4 linked regions of the Saccharomyces cerevisiae S288C genome follow. The protein of the gene in region 3 purifies or fractionates together with the protein of the main gene of each other region. This does not show direct contact. Each region holds a gene or a part of one and is shown on either strand. Other genes may lie near its edges.

Region 1 (4,287 bases), on a different chromosome or scaffold from region 3:
TTTGTGTATCCTCTATCTTTCACTATTAAAAAATGTACGATTACCTTTTCTTTCTATCTTTTCATGAATTGGCCACGTCTCATGACGTTCTTACGAACTTTCCACACATGTTCCAATTTTTTCCTTCTTTCAAAAGTTGCGAACGGTATTTGTATATTATCATCCCATGTAATTGTGCGGGGGGATGGAAGAAAGTCACAAAAAGGAGTTTCCGTCTTATTTCTTACTATTATCCATTGAGCATCCTCAGGTTGTTTATCTAAAATCTGGGTATGGCAAGGTGGCACGTAAATGTTCATTATTTGCTGGGAGGTGTCAATAGAGTGTATCAGCCCCAGAGTTATGAAATTTTTAGAAGAAGAAGTACACGATTGTAGGATGGGAAAGGTATTCAAGGATTTCACCTCTAGTGAGTCTTCTCCAGAATATGTATATATCCCAATGACAGTACCTTCCAATGCGGACTTGATATCTTGAGGATTCAGATCCTGGAATTCCATAGGAAATTGAATGCCTTTAATACCGCTTTTACCTTTGCCATATGAAATTTGCAAAGGTGCAGATTTTAAAAGAGGCGCAAAATCATAATCAAATTGAGTTATTTTATGAAACAGTGCCAGTATTTTGAATGTTCTCAGTTGTGATGCATGGAACCTAGAAGATAAGGTGTGGTTCAGACTATGGGCTGGAACGCGAACAACTTCAGGTGCATATGCATCTCGTAGTGATGTGGAAAAACTCTGTGGAATTGTTAGTTCATCCAGGTGTCTTTTCGAATTAGCTGTTTCCAAAAACAATAAGTGAGTGGGCTTATATTTCCTTATTATATGATTTAAAATCTGCATCCCGAATCCTTTTATCCACCCAGGTAGATTAAGCAATGACGTTCCGAAGAAGGCTTGCTCTTCCAAATGGTCTATAAGTTTATCAGCGCAGTTCAGGTATGATGTGGGCTCGTCCTGCGGGGAAGAGGAGCCAGCGTAGAACTGTAACAAAGTTTGGAAATTTGAACCTTGGCAGAGATGTTGTCCGAGAGAAATAGGGCTGGAAAGAATCTTATTCAGGGATATTGAATCAGGTAGTGAGTATTCAGGTTGACCAGGATCTAAATCCAGGTATACCAATTCTTCCTGGCTCGTAGTAGAATCTCGTATATCTTGCGTAAATTTTTCCAATAAAAGCCTCAAGAATGTAGACTTCCCAGAGTTTTTACCACCAATCACCATGATTCTTGTATCATACGCAGCGTTCTTGTGACTCAAATATAACTTCTCTAACGGAGTTGACCAATATCCCGGCACGGATAAAGATTGAATTCGGTCTGACTCATGTAATAAATGATACGTTGTTCTCTCGTTTAATGGAAAGTAAGGTTCTTTAGGTTTCCATAGATAATTAACATCCCGATATAAATGACCTGCTTCTAACAAGCCCGTATGATTAGAATTAAAAACGCGAAGAACACATGGAAATGATTTGAATTCTTCATCTCTAATTTTAAACCTGTTGTTTCTCGGCATAAAAAAAGTGTCTTGCCAGCCTGCAAAGTGCGAAAAATCTATAGTAGGTATGGACTGTGATAACGGGTGCCAGAAGGTTAAAATTTCTCTCGAAGCGTTATAGTGTACATTGTTGTAGACAATACCTCCTTTCACCACTTGCAGCCGGAAAACACCAGATAAATGTAACTTCTGTTTTTCTTTCAACCCCACAAACATAGTTTCATCTTCATCTCCTTCATACGTTATATTATCGATCAATTCAGCATCCAGCCCGTTCAAGTCATCACCTTCGTCGTCCTCATACTCTTCACTATTGAGAACTACGGTTGCACTTTTTGAAGATGGAATTGACGGAGATTCCACAATGAAATTATTACTTGAGTCTGAGTCCGATTCTGAACCTGAATCTTTGGTATATTGAGGTAGATCCTGTTTGGAATCTATCACCATAGCGGTAGAATATAATAGAAATGATTATCTTCTTCTCTCTGCCAAACTAAACTGCAGTCTTTCCTTATTTCAGAAGGGAAAGATCAGGAGTGGGGAACCTATACTACCTGCACTATAAGCGTGAATTAAGACAACTTAAATGCAACCTAAGCCTTAGGCGCAGAGCACTCGATGACTTGGCAGGAATAAATTTCATGTTGATAAATTTCGTACTTTTTCGGGTAGCAGCGGTGAAAAATTCGTAAGGGCAATTTTAGAAAGATGCAAACTTTCCAAGAAATATTAAAGACCAAAACATAGCCAAGAAAGCCAACTAGGGAACAATGCTTTGTGCTATTAGTGGGAAAGTTCCTAGAAGGCCAGTTCTATCACCTAAATCCAGGACTATTTTTGAAAAGTCGCTCCTTGAACAGTATGTTAAAGATACGGGGAATGATCCGATAACAAATGAGCCCTTAAGCATCGAAGAAATAGTGGAAATCGTACCTAGTGCGCAACAAGCCTCACTAACAGAGTCTACAAACTCTGCTACGTTAAAAGCGAATTATTCGATTCCGAATCTGTTGACAAGTTTACAGAATGAATGGGATGCTATAATGCTCGAAAACTTTAAGTTACGATCAACTCTAGATAGTTTAACGAAAAAACTGTCGACTGTAATGTACGAAAGAGATGCTGCAAAGTTGGTCGCTGCGCAACTATTGATGGAAAAAAACGAAGATTCGAAGGATTTACCCAAATCCTCACAGCAAGCGGTAGCTATTACGAGAGAAGAATTTTTACAAGGGCTGTTACAATCTTCTAGAGACTTTGTAGCGAGGGGCAAGCTCAAAGCACCCAAATGGCCGATTTTAAAAAATTTGGAGCTATTACAGGCACAAAATTACTCCCGTAACATCAAAACATTCCCATATAAAGAGCTTAACAAATCTATGTACTATGATAAATGGGTGTGCATGTGTCGCTGTGAGGATGGTGCTTTACATTTTACCCAATTAAAAGATTCGAAAACGATTACCACAATAACTACACCAAATCCCCGTACCGGGGGAGAGCATCCAGCTATTATTTCCAGAGGGCCTTGTAATCGTTTGCTACTACTATATCCAGGTAACCAAATAACTATATTGGACTCAAAAACAAACAAAGTCCTCAGAGAAATAGAGGTAGATTCCGCCAATGAGATTATATATATGTATGGTCACAACGAGGTCAACACAGAGTACTTCATCTGGGCGGATAATAGAGGAACCATAGGATTTCAATCCTACGAGGATGATTCCCAGTATATTGTTCATTCTGCTAAATCAGATGTTGAGTACAGCAGCGGTGTCCTACATAAGGATTCATTATTATTAGCCCTTTACTCTCCGGACGGTATATTAGACGTTTACAACTTGTCATCACCTGACCAGGCAAGCTCTAGATTCCCCGTAGATGAAGAAGCCAAGATAAAAGAGGTTAAATTTGCAGACAATGGGTACTGGATGGTAGTAGAGTGTGACCAAACTGTGGTTTGCTTTGACCTAAGAAAGGATGTCGGCACGCTAGCGTATCCAACTTACACAATCCCAGAATTCAAGACGGGCACCGTTACCTATGACATTGACGACTCTGGAAAGAATATGATTGCATACTCAAACGAGAGCAATTCGCTGACGATATACAAATTTGACAAGAAAACAAAAAATTGGACTAAAGACGAGGAGAGCGCCCTCTGTTTGCAAAGCGACACTGCCGATTTCACTGATATGGACGTGGTATGCGGAGATGGTGGTATTGCCGCTATTCTGAAGACAAATGATAGTTTCAATATTGTTGCATTGACACCCTAAATACGCTGACACGTTTGTACTTTCTAAATAAACCTGTGTAATAGTAGTAACATTTCCAGTAAAAATTTCATTTCCTTCTCTTTTTACATCTCTAGGACAACGCTTTAGTGAGAAAAAAAAAAAAAGAAAAAAGAATGAGAAAACGAAAATTGAGGTTATGTGTTGAATAAGCCTAGAAAGCATAAAGGTGTCAAAGAACGAGTACACATATAGTGAGGGGGTCGTGATGCCTTTGTTAGATACCTTCAAGAGTTTTATTCAATCACCGACGGAATCAAAGGTGAAACAGGCTACCAACGAGGACGAAACAAGTGGAGCAACGGGGACGCTTATGAACGAAATATCAATCTTGACCTACAGCCCCAAGACAGTACGAGAAATCATCCAGGTAATCCGGAAGCGATTGCTACTTGGGCAGAACAGAAGAAATTCTCATCGAAATTGTATCCAGGTGATGAAGACGCTGACTTTGGTCTCATATCTGATGAATAACGGGTCCA
Region 2 (3,783 bases), on a different chromosome or scaffold from region 3:
GGACTCTATAGTTATGGAATATTCAATCTTTCAAACGATTCAACTAACCTCGTGCTGAAAGTTTTTATAGAATACCTTAAAATAATGAGGATACTAGAAACTAAATATTGGCTTGAGCCTGCGGGCTCTCATGGTGTTTGGGGATTAGATGATTATCATTTCCTTCCATTTCTATTTGGTGCCTTCCAATTAACCACCCACAAGCACTTAAAGCCGATATCAATTCACAATAATGAGCTCGTAGAAATGTTCGCTCATCGGTACTTATATTTTGGTTGTATCGCTTTTATTAATAAGGTCAAGTCATCCGCCTCCTTGAGATGGCATTCTCCTATGCTAGATGACATCAGCGGTGTAAAGACTTGGTCAAAAGTTGCTGAAGGGATGATAAAAATGTATAAAGCCGAAGTCCTTAGTAAATTGCCCATCATGCAACATTTTTACTTTAGCGAGTTTTTGCCTTGTCCGGATGGTGTATCTCCACCAAGAGGCCACATACATGATGGGACTGATAAGGATGATGAGTGCAATTTTGAAGGACATGTTCATACTACTTGGGGAGACTGCTGTGGTATAAAGTTACCGAGCGCTATTGCGGCTACTGAGATGAATAAAAAACATCATAAACCAATACCTTTTGATTAGGAAAAGTCCATTTATAGATGCTATCTCATTGTATATACACGTATACAGGGTACGTACTTTTTCCATCTACTCCCACTAAAATCTTTTGGCGCTTAAGTTGGGGTTCCACGCTAGCCCCGGTTCTGACTCTTTTGTAGCCGTCTCATCCTGTTTCCAAATCTTTATGCTTTTGTCTGCTTCTCCAGTGATTAATCTTAAACCTGTTTTATCGAAAGTGCTACAAAGAACACTCCGTTCACCTTCCAGAGAGCCTACCATTTCTCTCGTGGCCAACGATTGGTATTTGTGACCAGACTTATAATCATAAAAGGAAAGCACACCATTGTCACCGCCAGCGAATAATACATCATCTTGATTAATGCTTAAAGTATTGATTATGCCTGTCTTTTCAGACTCAAAATTGGTGAGTAAAGACCCCTCTGCTAATCCCCATGATCTGATGTCATCAGTACACGCAGAAGCCACCGAAAACTCCTTAGGATGCAACGCTGTAGCTCTCACAGACCTCTTATGATGTGTTAGAACTTTCATTGTTTTCCCAGCAACTACATCCCATAACCTTACCGTAGCATCAGTCGATGAACTCACCACTTGAGGGTCTACTGGAGTACACTGTACTTGATTGATTGGACCCTTATGCCCAACTAGTGTAATAACAGGTATTCTGGTTCTCATATCCCAGAGTTTGATAACGCTATCTCGGCCTGCGGTAGCTATGAGATCCAGCGTTGGATGTATGCTCACCGTACGAACCCCCGATAAATGTCCATAGTAATCTCTAATAATTTGGTTTTTCTCTAGGTCCCAGCATTTGACCGTCTTATCTTCACTAACAGAAAATAAATAAGGATGTCGATCTGACACAGCAACGTCTCTCACTGTCATTACATGCCCTGCTAAGGTAGTTTTTAATTTTCCTGTTGCAAGATCCCAAACTTTCATTGTCGTATCATTACTTCCGGTGATGAACCATTCGTTGTCAACAGGATCGATTGCAACGCATCGTACCCATCCAAGATGGCCATTGATAACGCGTGAAAGTTTCCAGGGTGCATGCCATTCCGGCCTTTGTGACAGAAGTTTTTCGTATCGATTAACTATAAGTTCTTCAGCAACCTCTGGTTGGAAAATTTTATTCACAAAAGCAGATGCATGCGTATCGTGATCTTTCTTGCTAATCACTGCTTGTGATGCTTCTGAAAAATCTGTAGGAACATGCTGCAGAGTAACTTTCTTGCCTTCACCACTAAAAGAAGAACTTTCCTTCCTATAAGTATCATATCGCATTAGCAATGATTTCTGACCTTCCATTTCGCTTTGTAGGTGGGGCGGCAGAGTGGCCATATATGAAAATTGGTTATTCCAGCGTATTCTGGAATAAAATTTGTCTACATCTCCTAAATTTTCGACTTTGTGATCATTTCCGTCCATTCTCACTAATCTCCATGTAACACAGTGTCTGCATCCTCGGAAATGGTTTTAAGATGCAATGAAGTGGGTAATAATTACTGTTAGCTTCACATCTTGAATAATCTTTTATTGCCAAAATTGTAGCTTTTCCGTATTAGATGATGAAGAATTTTGAGCACCCTTACTTAATAAAAGAGTTGTTGAACTCGAAATAGGAATACGAGATGAGGAGTAATTCTCTGAAAGTAGATAGCTCCTCTTGTCACATTGAATGCTACTTTATTGTGACTATAGGTGATTTAAGCGAACGAATGTTCTTAGGTCATCGTGGATTTGTGTGGTGATTTTCGGCTTATCTTAACAATGTTGACCGCGTGGACCCTCCCAATCTTGACAACAGAACACTTATCAATAACGGTATACAATAAATATCTTGTATGAATTAAATAAAGTAACGTTTTTTCCCTCATATCATTCCGAATCATTACGAAAATTCCAATACCTGTATTTTGAAGTCAACAAGAGTTTCGTTATCCGAATACTATTTTTTGTATCAATAAATTTTGTTTCGTTTTTCATTAATAACTAGTCACTGTGTAGTGGAAGCAAGTTCTCCTTATCCGTTGCCAAGAGACAATAAAAGACCCACATATAGGTGAATATACTGCTCACCATGGTTAATCCTGTTGGATCCTCGAAATTGGAACAAAACAATATAAAAAGCATTATAGGATCATCGTACAATCGACTATACAGCCAATTTACTTCTGATGAGTTGACAGAAGTGGGAAACTACAAGATTTTAAAACAAATAGGTGAAGGAAGTTTTGGAAAAGTATATTTAGCGCTCCATAGACCAACACATCGTAAAGTCTGCCTAAAGACGAGTGATAAGAATGATCCCAATATCGTTAGAGAGGTATTTTACCATAGACAGTTCGATTTTCCTTATATTACAAAGCTTTATGAAGTGATAGTGACAGAATCAAAAGTGTGGATGGCATTAGAATATTGCCCAGGGAAGGAATTATATGACCACTTACTTTCTCTGCGTAGAATATCGTTATTGGAATGCGGAGAGTTGTTTGCACAAATTTCAGGTGCTGTTTACTATGCACACTCAATGCATTGTGTTCATAGAGATTTGAAGTTAGAGAATATTTTATTAGACAAAAATGGAAATGCAAAATTGACGGATTTTGGTTTTACGAGAGAATGTATGACAAAGACGACATTAGAAACGGTTTGCGGTACCACAGTTTATATGGCACCTGAATTGATAGAAAGAAGGACTTATGATGGATTCAAGATTGATATATGGTCATTGGGAGTGATACTATACACATTAATTACGGGATATTTGCCATTTGATGATGACGATGAGGCTAAAACGAAATGGAAAATCGTCAATGAAGAACCGAAATACGATGCTAAAGTTATTCCGGACGATGCTAGGGATTTGATCTCACGATTATTGGCTAAAAATCCGGGAGAGCGCCCATCGTTGTCACAAGTTTTACGCCACCCTTTTTTACAGCCTTACGGTTCAGTGGTTTTAGATCAGACTCAGAAAATTTTGTGCAGACAGCGCAGTGGAGGGACTCAGTTTAAAAGTAAATTAGAAAGGCGATTGCTGAAGCGTCTTAAACAATCAGGGGTTGATACGCAAGCAATAAAACAATCAATTTTGAAAAAAAAGTGCGATTCACTCTCGGGTCTATGGTTATT
Region 3 (3,643 bases):
AACAAATCGTATTTTTCCCGAAGCCAAGAAAAAAAGGAGACTATAACCTTTCAAGCCAGACGGAAAACTATCTGCCCAAGGACAAACTGGCATGGGCTGCTTCAATGTTCGGCTACCTTTTTTCTCTTTTAACGGGGTTTGGTATTTTTTTTCTTTACTTCATAAACGAATGTTAAACGACTGTGAAAAAGCCATCCCTGGATTATGCGAGAGTACTCTCAGGGCACCCGTCCGTTTAAAGACCCCAGGCCAAAATAAAAATTTCTTGAAGGAAAAAAATACACAGGGCCTTGAACTGAATACAAAGCCATCTTTTTTCTCGTTTGTCAGCACGTCCCAGAAAAACGCGCAGCCGTAGCTCTTGATAAGTGGCTTCTGCGTTTTGCAACGCTTTTCTGATCTCATGTTTTCTTATGCTGCGGGACATCATTGTCGTTGAGAAAAGTTTCAATTTCAAACGAACTGCCTACCGTTGCATTCTCCTTGGAGAAGGGCCTGAGTTTAGGGGAATCACGTCTGGCTATTACATGCTACATCGTGCAGTAGCTCCTACATCGCTAACAGGCAAATCCTACACCCTCTTTAAATCGTTTATCTTTTATATATTATCTGGCCTAAATTTTTACATATAAATATTTATCATATTATGACAGCTCAAATGAATTTCCGGCACCAAGTCATATGAGCACTCGCTACTGTTCGAAGAACAAAAAATATAAAGCTTCTACAAAATTTCCAGATGTCCATAGGTTACAAAGACAACTTGATGTCAACTATTCTAGCTAAAGATAGGAAATGTGAATTTCCCATCAATTTCGAATGTTCGCCCTCCCAGATAACTCTTATGCCTGAAATGTTCTCTTTTAACAATGAAAGGAAATACCAAACCCTGATACCCTTGATGAAAACATCACATCTAATTGATGATGACTTGAAAGATAAATTGAATAAGTGCGCTTTCGATTTTTTCTCCGGAAAACAAGCGAACAGAACGAGTGACGGGACTATTTCAAGATTAACAGCAAGTGGAAAAACGTCACCGATACTGCCATTGCAAAATATTAATATTGTAAAAGCAGAGAATACCGGTAACGGTAAATCAGATCCATATAGCTCAATTAAAATAAGCAAACCGACAAAAACCGTGATAAAATTGAAATCTACGAAAACCAATACAGCAGGACAGAGGACTCGTCATTTCTGTAAGATCTGCTCTACTGGGTTCACCACTTCTGGTCATCTTTCAAGACATAACAGAATCCATACAGGTGAAAAAAATCATATCTGTCCGCATGAGGGCTGTGGACAGAGGTTTAGTAGACATGATAACTGTAATCAGCATTATCGAACTCATGCAAACAAGAAGAAAAGAAACTGGAAGAGGAGGGAGGCTAGCAGTTGATGTGAGTGAGCTCAGCCAAAAACATTTAAATATTCAAATAACGTACAAATAAAAGACTGATAAATAGTAATAAAACTAAGCGGGTTAGTAATACTCACCAAGAACAATAGCAGGAACGATAGTCGGTTCTCTTTCGTAATTTTTTTAAGTCACAACCCGGAGGGACGTGAAGTTTCAAACCTTATTCATTCCGGGATTACCCTCTCCTGTGATGACGTTTAGGCAATAAGGACTAAAAAAAAAAAAAAGAAATGCTATGGCAAATTTTATTGATAGAAGTGGTAATGATGATGGAAGGGCTTTTGAGCAGGTGAATAGAAGGTAGCTAACGGAAAAGAGTTATTGCACCCTTAATATAATGAATGATGAAATTAATGAGCCACCGCCCAATATATGTGAGCAGTGCTTAGGTGATGAGGCTAATATACGAATGACTAAAATTCCACAAGGCTCTGAATGTAAGATTTGTACCTTACCGTTCACCTTATACCATTTTAAGACGTCTAAACGAAGCAATAATATCATTAAAACATTAATATGTGTACGGTGCGCCACTCAGAGAAACATTTGTCAATGCTGTATGCTTGATTCAAGATGGCACATCCCTATACAACTGCGGGATCATTTAATATCCCTTGTGAACGAGGAAAACGTTATGACGGAGGAAGCAAAAAACGACATGATGAAAAGGTTTCTGTCACTAAAAAACGTGAAATTAGGAGGAGCTCAGATTACGAGTGATCCGTCAGAAGCAGATAATATCGTTGATAAATTGAAAAATATACTTCTGCGAGCAACATCAGATGGCCCAAGTACTCCGTTAATAAAAAACACAACTGCATTGTATAAAAATGAAAAAGGTGCAAATGAGGTCAAAAACTTGGAAAAGTACGCGTCCGTGGACATTTCTCATATTTTGAAGAAACTACCCTTGAATGAATCGTTTTTAAAAAACCCCTCCACCAAATCATTTTTTCTGTATAATATTGATGCCTCGATCCCTGAATGGAAAATAACTGATACAGTTTCGCAATTATTGGGTATAAAGAAATGGAAGGATGGAAATTCATTGTCATTAATAGTCAACCACAAGGCGAAGTGTGGTGGCCTAAGATTTCAATCTAGTGAATTGGGGGAGCGGTTTGTCAGTAAAATAAGTGAGACACTTGTCACACCAAAGGGCCTAAAGAGAGGAGTTTTACTTATTGACCGTTTTAGAATCTTTATCATTCCGTGGTCGTCTGGCTTTTCAGCTGCGTCATTCGGAACCAACACTGCAGAAAATATAAAACTTAGTTTAAGTTTGAATAAGCTTATTCAGTTGGAGCTAGGGCTTTCTTTTCCTACAAAAAGCACAGATAACGCAAAGAATGACAAGAAAAAGACATCAAAAAAAGTTCATAAGGACAGATCAAAGAAATCGAAACCTCGCGCTAACAAGTTAACAATATAGATGAAACGTAAGAAAAATCATGGGTTGAAGAAACGAACTGTTTGATCAATTTCGACCATCCATCTACCTTGCAAGTAATAAACAAAAGCAGGTTGAGTGGGGAACTTTATCTAAGTTGATCAGTATATCTGACAAATTTATACGGAATGCTGCAGTTTGGATTAGCACGAACATTTTATCTGTACGGTTTGTCGCTTTTAGCTGCTCGGGCTCTTCCTCTCGGTTACCGAGATGATAACTCGGCCGAATTTTGTAAGTACAAATAAAAAGAAAGTGACACAATTCTAAAAGTATCACTATAATTTATTATTTTGAGAAAGATAAGGTTCCATAGGTACATGATATATTGACTGATTTCTGATAGCTCTTTTTTTTCCAATATCGATAAAAAACTAAAATATGGAGGAACTAGGTTTAAAAAGCACTTTTCCATATGAATATGGCTCAGACTTTACAATGATAAGAACGGAAATGTTAAATACTACGAAGAGCGAAACAACTATTTTATTTTCCAATATAAAGAGCATTTTGGCCATTATTTGGAAATACTCATTTACATTTTTAAGATCTTTTTCCGATTCCATCAAACTTATTATTGACGATGTTGTCACTATTGGCTCCCGAAATTTTGCAGAGAGATTACAGATTGAAGCGAAAAAAAACAATGACCAAGAAGATATCTGGGCATCCACAATAATTTTGGGTGTGATTATCGGGTATTTAATCTCTTCTATTAAGAGAAAGAACACTTTTCCAATAATGCCTACGAGCTCACCTAAAATAGATGA
Region 4 (4,972 bases), on a different chromosome or scaffold from region 3:
AAACAGAAAAATCCCAAATATACAGGGCATTGTTTGCAAAATATGTGGACAAACTGGACATTTCAGTAGAGACTGTAACTCATCGTCTCAAAGAATGAGCCGTTTTGACAGAAACGCCACGGTAAATAATTCTGCGCCAATACAGAGCAATGACGTACACTATAATAGCAATACTCATCCAATTCAAGCACCAAAAAGATCTCGTTATGACAATAACTCGACGGAACCTCCTTTAAAATTTCCGGCTTCTTCACGTTATGCACCATCACCTTCACCTCCTGCGTCACATATTTCGAGGCAAGCTCAAAACGTGACGCCTACACCCCCTCCCGGCCTAACATCAAGTAGCTTTAGTTCCGGAGTTCCAGGAATCGCCCCTCCCCCATTACAAAGCCCTCCAGAGTCGGAACAACCGAAATTTTCGCTACCTCCACCTCCCGGTATGACTACGGTACAATCCTCAATTGCACCTCCTCCTGGCCTAAGCGGTCCTCCAGGGTTTTCTAATAACATGGGCAATGACATTAACAAACCTACACCTCCGGGACTGCAAGGGCCTCCCGGATTATAATACACTCCCATTATACAATATCTGCATTTTTTTTTATTTGTGTTGAAGGTATGTAGTCTCTATTTTGCATAGTTCCTTTTTTTGTTGGTTTTTTGCCTTCCTGGTTATTATTAACTTTTGATATTTAATTTACTTACTAGCTTATTCTACTACTGTTTAGTTTCTACGGCCTGAACTACAATGACAAAAATATTATTTCACGATACCCTTACCTTTATTCAAAGTGCCTGTTCCTGTTTCCATTTTTTGGCTAGTTCCAAGAACTTTGATGGTTTTGGCTTGTCATCATCGATATCATCAGGAAAAATGTAATCCACGAATTCTTCTTCCACACCGTTCTGTAACCTCACTTTTTTGATTACTTTAGGGAATCTTTTCTTGACGGTTTCTTGATCGAGTTCAGTACCGTAAGTTTCTTCATAGTCTTTTAGCGCTTCCAAAATAGACAGTCTCCCTTGTTTATCATCCTTCTCCTTGAAAAAAACTATCGCCTCTTCAAAAACTTTTCTTGCCTCCAATTTATTCTCATCGGTAATTTCAAACTCTATGTCTTCATCCACATTTTCGCTTTGCAGTTTTGCTAAATCTAATAGTTGTTGCTCCGTCGGGGTTGAAGTTTGATACATGGCGAATTCGATCCAGCTTTGGGGGGAATATTGGTTGAGCTCCAAATATCTTCTATAAAGCTTCCTTGCCTTTTCAAATTCTTGTGATTCTGTCTCAAATGTTATGTATTTTTGAAGTAATACAATTTTAGCCTCCTTTGTTAAGAAATCAGAATTTTCATCTAGTGCAATTGTATATATACCTCTTACTCTATCCCAATCTCCTAAATTTTCTTCTAGTTCTCCATATTGTGACCAAATTTGTAGATCAGAGGGCTGAAATTCAATAAATTTCTCATATATTTTTCTCACACGATCAAATTCCTTCAACTTCACTTCCAACTCGATATATCCTTTGAAAGTTTTAGCCTTAGGACATAAACCGATTGCTTTACCCAAAATTTTTCTCGCCTTCGGTACATCATCATGTCGTATCAGAAATTTAGCATACATTAGCCATATTTTGGAAAAAGTGAAATGTTTATGAGGGATGATGTCGTCAATTAACCTCTGAAAAAGTTCTTCTTCTAAAAGCGAATTTTCCAATTCTAACTCAACATAGCATATATATCTCATCCACAGATAAATATACCTTTTCCACTGAACATTTTTTGATAGTTCTTTTGGTCGGCTGTCCACAATAGCTTTCTCGAAAGTTTGCATTATTTGTTTGGGGAAACTTTCTGAAATGAGATCCAAGTACAGCCACCAGGTGTCATAATCATAGGCGTTATTACTCAATATTGTTTCATACTCCATTTTCCTTTTATAGCTAATAGTTTCTTCTATTGAGTTTATGTCACCAAACTGCTTTTCAAAATCCAACAGTCCTGCCTTGAGCAATTGATTGGAGGGCCATTTTTCTATAGCAATTTGATAAAGAGCACTAGATCTTTCGTATTCTTGCTGCGCAGCTTCCCAATGAGCAAATGAATTTACTAATTTTGCAACCTCCATATCAGACCAAATCTGTAAATTTTGGAGGTTAGCTACTGTGTCTATCGCTAAAGAATACACACTTCTCGTAAATTCAGTATTACCATGTCTATTTTCAAACCTCACCCACTTTAGCCATGTCTGCATTTGCGGGTGAGCCATGACGTATTTTGAGTAAATCTCTCTTACACCGTTCCAGTTTTTCTGTCTTATTTCAAAATCCACGAAAGAATTCCATGCATTAACCCCTGGCTCCAAGGAGCACCATTTGGTGTACAGTGATCGTACAATTTCAACGTTGTTTAACGACTCTTCGACAATGAGATACTTGTACCATAACTTGTCTACTCTGGGCAACGTACTAATAGCTCTGTTCATAAGATTCCTAGCATGGTTAATACATTTGACTTTCAGCTCAGCATCAATGTATCGTATCCAAAGGGGGATGAATGAACTATCTACTAATAATGCTCTTTCAAAGATAGATCTGGCGCGCCTCATGTCGTGTTGTTCGATTTCGAATTGCGCATAACGAATCCATTGTCCCATATCCAGTCGGTTTCTCTTCAAATAACCCTCATATTCTGTTCTCTTCCTTCGTTGATACTCTCGAAGTTCCTCCAAGTCTAATATATCAATATTAGTCGATCCTCTTGCTTTTTGCCCCTTCTTGTACACATCCCGCAGAATCTGCTCCGCAGAAACATGCGTATCAACGGCTGTTGGCTCTAAAGTGTCCATGCTGGCAATAGTAGAGTACTTTTAGCTCAAGTTTGTCTATCTATTATGAACTTGCATAATCAATGAGTCTCATCACCCCAACTATTTGGCACCAAGGTTTTTAATTTTCTATCGCGTCTTACGGATGTATATAAATTATTTAACCAAGTATAATAGCGGTTAAATTGAACTCGCAATATTAGGAAAAGAGCTATGATGATAAGCTCTTCTTGATAAATGAAGCCAAGTCTTCTAATTCATCTGGAACTGTAGAATGGGCCATACCTTTGTATACTTTAAATTCATAATTTTGTATCTCACAGCTATCTTGATAGAACTGTTTTGCCTTTATACCTAGTCCAATAGGAACTACTGGATCCATGTCACCATGCCCATGAAAAATTGGTGTCTTTACATTAATGCCATTCTTATGTTGTTTCAGAATTCCTGGGATGGAACAAAATCCCGACAGAGCTACTATACCACCGATTTTCCATGGTAAAGTAACTGATGTTGCGAGAGCTAATGCGGCACCCTGAGAGAAACCTCCGATAATAATCTGCTCCGGTTTAATTCCTTTATCAATTTCTTGCTTAACCGTCTTTTCTATGGAATTCAAAGAATTCATAAAACCGTCACTGTCAACTTTGGAAAAACTAGGATCCCATTCCAAGATGTCAAACCAAGCAGGCATCAATGCACCGCCGTTTGCTGTCACATGAAGCTCTGGAGCATTAGGAAAAACAAAATTAGTATGCTGGAAAGCGGCAGGGTCTCTCTGTTGTAAATACTGAGCTAAAAATCCCCATCCCGAACCTGTATCACCTAATCCATGCAAGAATATGATAGTTTGGCGTGCTGGCTGAATTTTTGCTGCAACTCTAAGTCCATTCATATTCGATAGCGCTCAAATGGGCAAATATAGTGTATGTGTTCTTATTTTCGTTCTCTTTTGCTAACATTTTTATTTCATACAGAAGCCATTTTTCCCTAGAATAGGCGTTCTGAAAAGAAGGAAATATGAAAGTAAAGGCTACAAAACTAAGGATAAAACAACGAAGGAAAAATAAGGGGCTCAATATAAGCAGATTAGATATTATCAGAGCAGAAATGGATGTGGTACCATCTCCGGGTTTACCAGAAAAAGTAAACGAAAAAAGCAAAAATATTCCCTTACCTGAAGGAATTAACCTTTTATCATCAAAGGAGATAATCGATCTAATTCAAACCCACAGACACCAATTAGAGTTATACGTCACAAAATTCAATCCCTTAACGGACTTTGCTGGAAAGATTCATGCATTCAGAGATCAATTTAAACAATTGGAAGAAAATTTTGAAGATTTACATGAGCAAAAAGATAAGGTCCAAGCCTTATTAGAAAACTGTAGGATTTTAGAATCCAAATATGTAGCTAGCTGGCAAGATTACCATTCCGAATTTTCAAAAAAATATGGTGACATAGCATTAAAAAAGAAATTAGAACAAAACACAAAGAAACTTGATGAGGAGAGTTCACAGCTAGAAACTACCACAAGGTCCATTGACTCAGCCGATGACCTGGATCAGTTCATCAAAAATTATCTGGACATACGAACACAATATCACTTGAGGAGAGAGAAACTGGCGACCTGGGATAAACAAGGTAATTTGAAATACTAGTTCAGCAGCTACCGCCATTATCAATATGTACGTATATAGACTATACTTTATAGATTATTCTAGATGCCAAACGAATTATTAGAATATTAAAGCCTTTGATTATAGGCCATATCCCAGGTAAATAGTATACTAGGAATGAGAAAAAAAAATGTGAATAAATGGTAACCTATTCTTAGTGGGTAAGATAAACTATTGTGAAGTAAAAATGAAGACCGCCAACGTAACAATAAAAAATTAATAATAAAAAAAAACTTTGCCCAAGCGAGAGCAACGATTTCCGCCAGAAACTCCAACTGGCTTGGAGATGTGAATGTCTAAACTTTGTGCAACGGTTTTCAGATGAATGCAAAAAGAAGAGAAATTAATGTGAGGGGTAAAGATGGAACTATATGATCACCAACATTTCTTTTACTTGATGTAGAAGTGGCGGATGCAGTACTGGTCGTCAGGTTACCGCTAAAGGAAGCAGTTTGTGAGG

Evidence for each region.
Region 1: the proteins of ECM2 (region 3) and PRP19 purify together in Saccharomyces cerevisiae (affinity purification with mass spectrometry; 5 studies listed by BioGRID, with this or other methods). This does not show direct contact.
Region 2: the proteins of ECM2 (region 3) and PRP46 purify together in Saccharomyces cerevisiae (affinity purification with mass spectrometry; 4 studies listed by BioGRID). This does not show direct contact.
Region 4: the proteins of ECM2 (region 3) and CLF1 purify together in Saccharomyces cerevisiae (affinity purification with mass spectrometry; 4 studies listed by BioGRID). This does not show direct contact.

Annotation. Positions count from the first base shown.
Region 1 is NC_001144.5:66,245-70,531, reverse strand, and holds PRP19 (E3 ubiquitin-protein ligase PRP19), read left to right. Parts: upstream 1-2,275; coding exon 2,276-3,787; downstream 3,788-4,287. Other genes in the region: GRC3 (polynucleotide 5'-hydroxyl-kinase), read right to left, coding at 54-1,952; ENT4 (Ent4p), read left to right, coding at 4,014-4,287. UniProt on the Saccharomyces cerevisiae protein: Probable ubiquitin-protein ligase involved in pre-mRNA splicing.
Region 2 is NC_001148.4:265,460-269,242, forward strand, and holds PRP46 (mRNA splicing protein PRP46), read right to left. Parts: upstream 2,077-3,783; coding exon 721-2,076; downstream 1-720. Other genes in the region: peptidylprolyl isomerase RRD2, read left to right, coding at 1-645; YPL150W (non-specific serine/threonine protein kinase), read left to right, coding at 2,729-3,783. UniProt on the Saccharomyces cerevisiae protein: Involved in pre-mRNA splicing. May also be required for cell cycle progression at G2/M.
Region 3 is NC_001134.8:367,796-371,438, reverse strand, and holds ECM2 (Pre-mRNA-splicing factor ECM2), read left to right. Parts: upstream 1-1,760; coding exon 1,761-2,855; downstream 2,856-3,643. Other genes in the region: NRG2 (Nrg2p), read left to right, coding at 740-1,402; CNM1 (Cnm1p), read left to right, coding at 3,255-3,643. UniProt on the Saccharomyces cerevisiae protein: Involved in pre-mRNA splicing. Facilitates the cooperative formation of U2/U6 helix II in association with stem II in the spliceosome. Binds to RNA.
Region 4 is NC_001144.5:381,682-386,653, forward strand, and holds CLF1 (Clf1p), read right to left. Parts: upstream 2,854-4,972; coding exon 790-2,853; downstream 1-789. Other genes in the region: mRNA splicing protein MSL5, read left to right, coding at 1-571; TML25 (palmitoyl-(protein) hydrolase), read right to left, coding at 3,044-3,727; ESCRT-I subunit protein SRN2, read left to right, coding at 3,853-4,494; YPS1 (aspartyl protease), read right to left, coding at 4,830-4,972. UniProt on the Saccharomyces cerevisiae protein: Involved in pre-mRNA splicing and cell cycle progression. Required for the spliceosome assembly by promoting the functional integration of the U4/U6.U5 tri-snRNP particle into the U1-, U2-dependent pre-spliceosome.